Linked DNA regions of Tribolium castaneum. The protein of the gene in region 1 purifies or fractionates together with the protein of each later gene. This does not show direct contact. Links are inferred from orthologs where the notes say so. Each region holds a gene or a part of one and is shown on either strand. Other genes may lie near its edges.

Evidence for each region.
Region 2: the proteins of Sdc (region 1) and AMPdeam purify together in Homo sapiens (co-immunoprecipitation; 3 studies listed by BioGRID and IntAct, counting the BioPlex papers as one, with this or other methods). This does not show direct contact. The link is inferred for Tribolium castaneum from reciprocal best matches to the Homo sapiens genes SDC2 and AMPD2.

Annotation. Positions count from the first base shown.
Region 1 is NC_087403.1:6,250,863-6,255,418, forward strand, and holds the start of Sdc (syndecan), read left to right. Parts: upstream 1-1,566; 5' UTR 1,567-1,703; coding exon 1,704-1,769; intron 1,770-4,556. Other genes in the region: ATPase inhibitor mai-2, mitochondrial, read left to right, coding at 174-226, 305-446, 494-625. UniProt on the Homo sapiens protein: Cell surface proteoglycan which regulates dendritic arbor morphogenesis.
Region 2 is NC_087396.1:12,801,643-12,805,468, reverse strand, and holds the end of AMPdeam (AMP deaminase 2), read left to right. Parts: coding exon 1-310; intron 311-1,909; coding exon 1,910-2,774; 3' UTR 2,775-3,345; downstream 3,346-3,826. Other genes in the region: nose resistant to fluoxetine protein 6, read right to left, coding at 3,808-3,826. UniProt on the Homo sapiens protein: AMP deaminase plays a critical role in energy metabolism. Catalyzes the deamination of AMP to IMP and plays an important role in the purine nucleotide cycle.

The DNA.
Region 1 (4,556 bases):
TTAAGGAAATTTCGAAGAGTTTTGGTGGTTTTGGGAGTGGAATTCATTAGATGTCGCTCAGGTAGCTGCCTAGCTTACCGGTGAATTTGACACTTTGACATTCAGGAGTTGGTGAAAAGTTGTCACACGAAGTCCAGGTGATTTTGCGGCACAAACTTCTCGCAAAGTACGAAATGAGCTTTTTGCGTAACCCGCGAACCCTTCTGGAGGCATCGAAAGCTCCGAAGTAGGTGCAGGTGCAAACTGCACCACTTAGTGCCTTCCAGTCATCGTCTTACATAATATTGTCATATTTTTATTTCAGACAGTTTCGATTAATGTCACAGCTTGGCGATTTAGGGAGCGGGGCTGGGAAAGGGGGCGGCGGCGGCGGCACAATTCGCGAAGCCGGGGGTGCCTTCGGCAAGGCTGAAGCCGCCAAGGAAGAGGAGTATTTCTATAAAAAGGTTAGATGCACCGGCTAATAATAGATTTGTTTATAGTTTTTTTTAAGCAAAGGGAACAGTTATCGAAACTGAAAGACGATTTAAAGAACGAAATTAATTTCCACGAGGAGCAAATCAAGAGACATCAAGATGCGATCAATCGCCACAAGCAGAGAGTCACCGAAATCGACAAGGAGTAATTTCATATTTGAGTTCCACAGCTTGAAAGTAGATTTCTTAGATTGGAAAATATGTTCACGTTTACTGTATGATATAGGTATTATTTTCAAATAAATATTATCGCCTTCACTGTGTGTTTTTCTCAATTGTGTGTGGCACACCATATTTATTTTTTCGATAAAAATGATGGTTACGTAATATTTGTTTAGTGTTTGACACTGCGTACTACGATGCCCTTAAAGGGCCACGATCACAAATTTTTCAAACTGTTAAATTAATAAAATCTTGGACCTTAAGTAAATAGTCGCATTGCGAGCTTTAAAAGTCGTATTGCGTGCTTTAATGTTGCATTGCGAGTTTTAAAGTCGCATTGCGAGCTTTAAAGTCGCATTGCGAGCTTTAAAGTCGATTGCGAGCTTTAAAGTCGATTGCGAGCTTTAAAGTCGATTGCGAGCTTTAAAGTCGATTGCGAGCTTTAAAGTCGATTGCGAGCTTTAAAGTCGCATTGCGAGCTTGTGTGCGGTAGAAACATGAAATAACTCAAAAAACTTGTTACAACGTGTACAAAACACACCCCCAATGTTCCGCAATGACCAGTCTATAGGAAGAAAAAAGGCATAATAATATTGTTTTGTATATGTAAATAAATTTTACGTGGCATAAGTATACAGGGTGATTCAAAAGAGTCAGATCTTTTTTTGGGTAGTGGTAAAAGACATACAACTAAGTTAAAACTTTCTATAACAAAAAGTTATATAAGCCTTTTTTAGGATAGCTTTTTAAAGGTTAGATTCTTGTTTTAAGCACTTAATATCATGTTTTTTTGAAATAATTGGCGGTAATGGCGGCCCTTCAGCATAAAAAATGCAGTGTTGCCATCCGCTGGGTGGCAAATTCGAAATTGGCGCCGGTGTGCGCTTGAGCTGTAAAATGACCGAACCCAGTCGGTAACTCGACAACCCGTAGTTGTATTTCTCATTGATCAGCTAGTACACTGTATGCGTTTGTTGCTTGCTGTGGGGTAACCGTGCCATATTAAGTTACAGAAATAAAAACAAATAGTCGAGTTAATTCGACTAGTAAAAACTGTTTTTAGTGATGTATTTAAGGATATGTTCATTATTATGTTGTGCAATCCTATTTGGATTTGCGACAGCAGCACAGGTAAGTTACAAATGTTCATCATTCCTACTCGTTCGGGGCCTAAACTTGTGTCTTAAATGTTGGAGCTCGTCCGAGCTTTGAGGTTTTTTCTTGGCGAAAGCGCGTCAAAAATATTTATGTTAATGTGCACGAACGCAAATTAATAACAATGACGAGACGCATACGAAAATGTTTACATTGTATCATCTATAATTTCGATTTTCCGGACAGACGGCATTCGCCTTCCAAAAAAATCATCGCTCCTGCAGATGGTATTTTGTTTACGCGCTTTTACTGATTTTAATTTAATGCCAACCTTTAGTCGGCCAAATAAATCATTTTACAAGATCATAAAACTTCTTCCTTTTCTACGGATCGTAAATATCGCCAATATTCCGAAAAATCAATCAGCAAATGGACAAACACAAGGACTTCGTCATTGATAAGCATTTTGCATAATTAATTACTTCTAATGAAACATTCCATTAAAACCGAACGAAGCCTCCTGTTACAACCATTGCAAAACTGAAGAAATATTTTGCTGCATCCCTACCTCATAAATTCCATAAATTAAGCTTGCACTAAGCGTTTTGACAAAGACTGCTTTTTTACGTAACTTAAAATAATCACACTTATAAATTATTTATAATGTAGTAGTAAATGGAAGAAATGATGCGTAAAAACTCGTTTCGAGATGTATATCCATCTTGCTACATTTTGTTTCCATAATTTTTAATTGCAACAATGCTCATTTGAGCGGAATTAGGGATAATTAAATGGAATTACAAATTAGAATTGCATGTTAAACATTTTAATTCCTAACGAAGTGTATTCACTTGAAACGCGCATAAATATTCTTATTTAATTTGGTCGCAGAAAATTATCAGCCTGGAAATGTATATTTAAAATTAACGCAAATTGTGATGCTGTAAAATCTGTCAAAAGAGGTTTTAATGATGTATCGCAAGGGAGATCATAACAACACCCTCTGTTAAGATTTTCACCTTTGTAGGTAATTTACTTATCTCTTCTATTCCACTAATTTGCTTTTGAGAGAAAATGGGGTGAGGTTTGCTAATTCCAGATGTAATATACTGGTGGTTCGTGGTATTTAACTCCGCGATTCATTTTTGCATCTGATTTTCGTGACTAAAGCGAAGAAATTGTTTTCATTTCTATTAATACATCAAGGAGTGTTCTCGTATAGACGTATTTATTCATACAGTCTGATTGAATCAAGGGATACAGTTTTGTGCAAGATTGAAGGTCGCCTTAAATCTGCTTCAGCACATCTGTATCATTTTTGCGGAAAAATACGCAAGGCGGAGGTTTTTCACAAGCACTTGAAACGTATCATGATTTTCGTGAGAATTTCAGTCAATGGAGATTTTACAGCTACCGTAACAGGTCATGTCGTTATTTTATTGATGGGGAACCAAAAATAGCATTAACATGTCTCCGTGCTTTCGGAGAAAACTGAATTGGTCAGTTTGAAAAGTTGGCAAAATCGGGATTTATTTAGTACATAAATTGGCGAATTGGCAGTAGAGCAATTCCAGTTTAATGTGGTGGACGATAAAGCATGCTGTCAGGTTGTAATTTAGTTAAATGAATATTTCATCCTATTTATTCATTTATTAAATCGTAATTAAAACGGACTTAACTGCATGGGATAGTTTATTATCACTTTTATGTCAGACTCCTGTAGTTAGCATTAAGCTTAACAAATTCGATTAGCACCGATAATGCATGATTATTACTAAAATCAGTGTTATCTCATGTCGGGACATTTATTACTAATTCGAGTGTTTCGTGATTATATAATTGTATTAAATATCATTGCTTGAATTTATCATTGGGGTGAAGTTGCCATTAAAAAGAAATCATAATTGCTTACGTAACACATTTACCATTAAAATTGTTTCATTAAAATGGAAGCGTATACGAAGGCTATTTTTGCATCGATGAATATTTTAGCAGTACCGTGTCAATTCAGGCCATAAATAATTCGAATGTGTCCACCCCGTAACAATTAAACTTTTATCAAAATTGAATTGTTTTTAAACAATCCATAATTTGTTAATATTTTTGATTTATGTGATGCGTCCAGAGAGATTCTCCTTTTTGCTCGGTAATGCCCTTGCGAGAGATTAAAGGAACTTTGTGTCGCCGATGACACTAAGACCCCGCGATTTATCATTATTTTTATTGTTCGCTGTATTCCTTTATTATAAATCAAGGACGCTTGTGTTTCCAAGGTAAGGAACAAAAACTTGGTTAGGGTATAAGCAGTGAAGCGCTGTTTATTTGTGAGGTATTTTTGGAAATGGTTACTTTAGTAATGTGCGGGTCGTATGTTTATTGTTTACTTCCAACTTTGCTTTTTGGGTGGTTTTACAAAAATGATCAATACTTCGGTTGCGATGTTACTGTCATTTTAACCACAAAGAGTTTCATTTCCGCTAATGTAAGAAATCCTGCATTGTTACGCCTGTTATTGATACAACGTTGTTGCAGTATCAATCGGATGTTTACTCAGTACAGATAGTCACCTAAGCGAGATGCTTGCCAACAATCTCAATATTTATCGAAAAATTACTAACGATATGATCAAAAATAAGAACAGTTCATCCAAAATAGAAAACAAATGAGTCTCGTTTCCGGCGATTTTTAAGTGACGGAGGTTTTTGAAGCTATCTGTATTGGCGTAGACGGACTTCCCCGTCCACAAAATAATACGAATCGATAGTTTGGCTACTGTTCCCGCCGACTCCGCATTTAATAAACAACATATTTGATAGCAATTCA
Region 2 (3,826 bases), on another chromosome or scaffold:
TTGACGTCCATGCAGATCGTAATACTTTCCACCGATTCGATAAATTCAATGCAAAATATAACCCGATTGGTGAAAGCAGACTCAGAGAAGTGTTTCTGAAAACTGATAATTATCTGAACGGGAAATATTACGCGAGGATTATTAAAGAAGTCTGCAGCGATTTGGAGGAATCGAAATATCAGAATGCCGAGCTCCGTTTGAGCATTTACGGCAAAAGCAGGGACGAGTGGGACAAATTGGCCAAATGGGCCATTGGTTCCAATGTCTACTCAGACAACGTTCGCTGGCTAATCCAAGTTCCTCGGCTTTTGTAAGTATTTCAAAAGAAGTAGTTTAGCTACCACTAATATTTTTTTAATAATAATTTGTAACTTCATGCCTCAAAAACCAAGCGTATTTATTTCCCATAACTACTCGTAAATGCACAAAGAAAATTTTGTTTTCTAAATTTTTACCATATACTCATAATATGTATTAGTGCTTTTTATGATATGAATATTTTTACACGTTGCGACATCATCTCACGAACGAAACGCAATTGTAATTGCATTATGAAAATTATTCATTGTTGATGGATTTGATTTGTTCTTTTACAGAGAAATAAAACTATGTAAGCATAAAAAAACAAACGAACTTGATTAGAAAAAATCTACTTTGCATATTTAATTGTTAAACTCTGCACATTCAATATAAAAAATAATCGTACAAGCCAAATTAAAAAACAAAACAAAGAATTATGCGTGATAACTGGTCACATGACCAAATTGAAGCAATTTGATTGGTCTATGTTTAACTTTTAACAGCGCAATTGACTTTAATTGAGCTTTCTATAAACTGGCCTTTGATGCATTAAATTTACAGTAGTAAGAGATAAAGGTTTAAATTTAACATTAATTTTAAAAACCAATTTGATTTGCTCTTCCGTTATTTTATATTTTAACAGATTTACCTGTAGATATCTTTATTATCTATCTATGATAAACAATATGGGGTCCAAAAAAAGGGTGGATAGACGAAGAGTTGTTTATTTCTGCGCTAAATAGTTTAAAATTGGTTAAATTATTATAATTTTTTGTTCAATAATGAGCTAATTTATCCAGACTTATTAGCTGAAATCACGCCAGTAAACAGTTAACAAATTCGTTAAACAAAGATAATATATGAAGATATTAAATTATTTGTTATGGTTGAACTATCCTGAGAAGGTCTGAAGACAAGCTGTTTCAACAAGCGCATAAACGCAAAGTTTGAAATTGAGTTTTTAAGGAGAGTAAATAAATAAGCAAGTAAATTAAAAAGTACCTAATAAACAAAATATTTTTTTTACAATAGGCTGTTGTTCTTAAATTGACCACAGATCAGTTTGTATCTCGTTTTAAATATTTGTAACCGAGTTTAAACGGGTTAAAAACTCTATTTATTTATTTTCTATAAAAAAAATAAGTTCAAATCGCATGAAAAAATATCGTAAGTTTCTGAGAACCTTAGCAACAATATACAGAGTGTCCGTTTCGAATAAATTGGAAAAAAATGTGTCAAATGACCTGCGTCCAGGGCTCTGAAAAGCTTAAGTCCATGCTGTTTCTACTTTTTACAATCTAACGTGATTAAATTGCAGTAACGTAATTTACTTGTAATTCAGCGAGTTTTAGACGAAGAATTCTTTTGAATTATGATGAATAATACCTTACAGCACTGCTCTAAAATACTAAATTTTCCAGTCAATGCCTCACATTTTAAATAAATTGTTTTAATCACTGCACATGTATACTAAATAAATTGTTATTATATCGTACTTAAGATACATTTACTCAAATTTTAGACATAGTTTAGCTGGTAGCTAACTACGATTCTCAGCTCTGTCTAAATCCCGACTTTCCCGAATTGTTAACCGAATTTCTCCCTCTAGCGACATCTTCAAGCTAAACAAACTCCTCCAAAACTTCCAACAAGTCATCGACAATATTTTCCTGCCTCTGCTCGAGGTGACAGCGCGACCGAGCTCCCACCCGGAACTGCACCGCTTCCTGGAGTATGTCATCGGCTTTGACTCCGTGGACGACGAAAGCAAGCCCGAGAAAAACCCGCTTTTCGACAAAGACCTCCCGAAACCGGAAAACTGGAACGACGACGAAAACCCGAACTACGCCTACTACCAATACTACATGTACGCCAACATGGCCGTACTCAACCACTTCCGGGCCGAGAAGGGCCTCCCGACGTTCGTCCTGCGCCCGCATTGCGGCGAAGCCGGCCCTGTGCAGCACCTCGTGTGCGGCTACATGCTGTCCGAGAACATTTCGCACGGCTTGTTGCTGCGCAAAGTCCCGGTTTTGCAGTACTTGTACTACTTGGCCCAGATCGGGATTGCGATGAGTCCGCTGTCCAATAACAGCCTGTTTTTGAACTACCACCGGAACCCGCTCCCGGAGTACCTGTCGCGGGGGCTGGTCGTGTCGCTGTCCACGGACGACCCGCTGCAGTTCCACTTCACCAAGGAGCCCCTGATGGAGGAGTACAGCATTGCGGCCCAAGTGTGGAAGCTGTCCAGTTGCGACATGTGCGAGCTGGCGCGCAACAGCGTGCTCATGTCCGGGTTCCCGCACAAGATCAAGCAGTACTGGCTGGGGCCCAACTACACCAAGGAGGGCGTGGCTGGGAACGACATCGCCAGGACCAACGTGCCGGACATAAGGGTGGCATTTAGGTACGAAACCCTGATTGACGAACTGTCGAATATTTTCAAAGCTCAGCCGGAACCAAATTCGGCTTGAACGAGGTGTTGGCGTTTTCGGTTAAGTTTACAAATTTTATAAATTATTTTTTATATGTATAGGCAGGTTTCATTTAAGCAAATATATTTTCGTGTAAGTGGTAAGTGAAATAATTCAATTCGAGTTGTGATGAGATACGCCTTACGACTAGAACAGTTTCTTATATTTTTATAAAGAGTTTAACAAGTGATTGTTTTTGCTGACGCTAGTCGATGTTTGATCATTGTTAAGTCTCGCCGAAATTTTATTTCCGGTCCTCGGAGCGCGTGACGAAGTCTTCGGTATTCTTAAGTGTTAGATTAATGTTGGAACTTGTTATTTTAAGTTTTTATTAATCGTAATTATGAAATTTCTAACTTAATTGCACTTCGTAAAATTTTGCATTTGGCTCTTTAATCGTATATCTTTAGCCATCCGTTATTGACTGACTTAGAGATTATTAAATAAAAAGCCAAATAATTGAAAAATATAATAAAAAAATGACCAATAACTAGAATTTGTGCCCTGTTGTTAAATATATAGCCGATTATATTGTACGTACTCTGAAATGAGAATAAAGTTATCAAAGCATTCCTGTGTATTTTTTGCACCTCCACCACTGTTTACCAAAAGAAATTGAAAAAAAAGTCATTTTTGACTCTAGCACATTGCTGAAATGAAGCCGATATTTTGTTTGTAAACGCTGATGAAAGAAATTAGTAGAGAATTGAAAAAAATTTGTAAAAATAAATTTTTTTAAGTGATAAAAAACGGACTTTAAAATTATTAAAACTATACAAGAAAAAAAAAAAGGATTTTGCGGCGTTTCTTATTATTATTAATATCAAAAAAAATAATTAATACATCATCAAAAACTTTAAAAATGTGATCATTTCTCAAAAAAATTCTGTGAAGAAGGAAAAAGGTGTAGGTAAATTAAAAAACTTTATTTTGTTATTTAGTAACATTTCTCATACAAAATTAAAGTACACATAAATCTACCATTAAATACTACTTGTTTTGATAAATTAATTCGAGGAGAAAAGGTGAGTTACTACAGCCTACTATCAGTG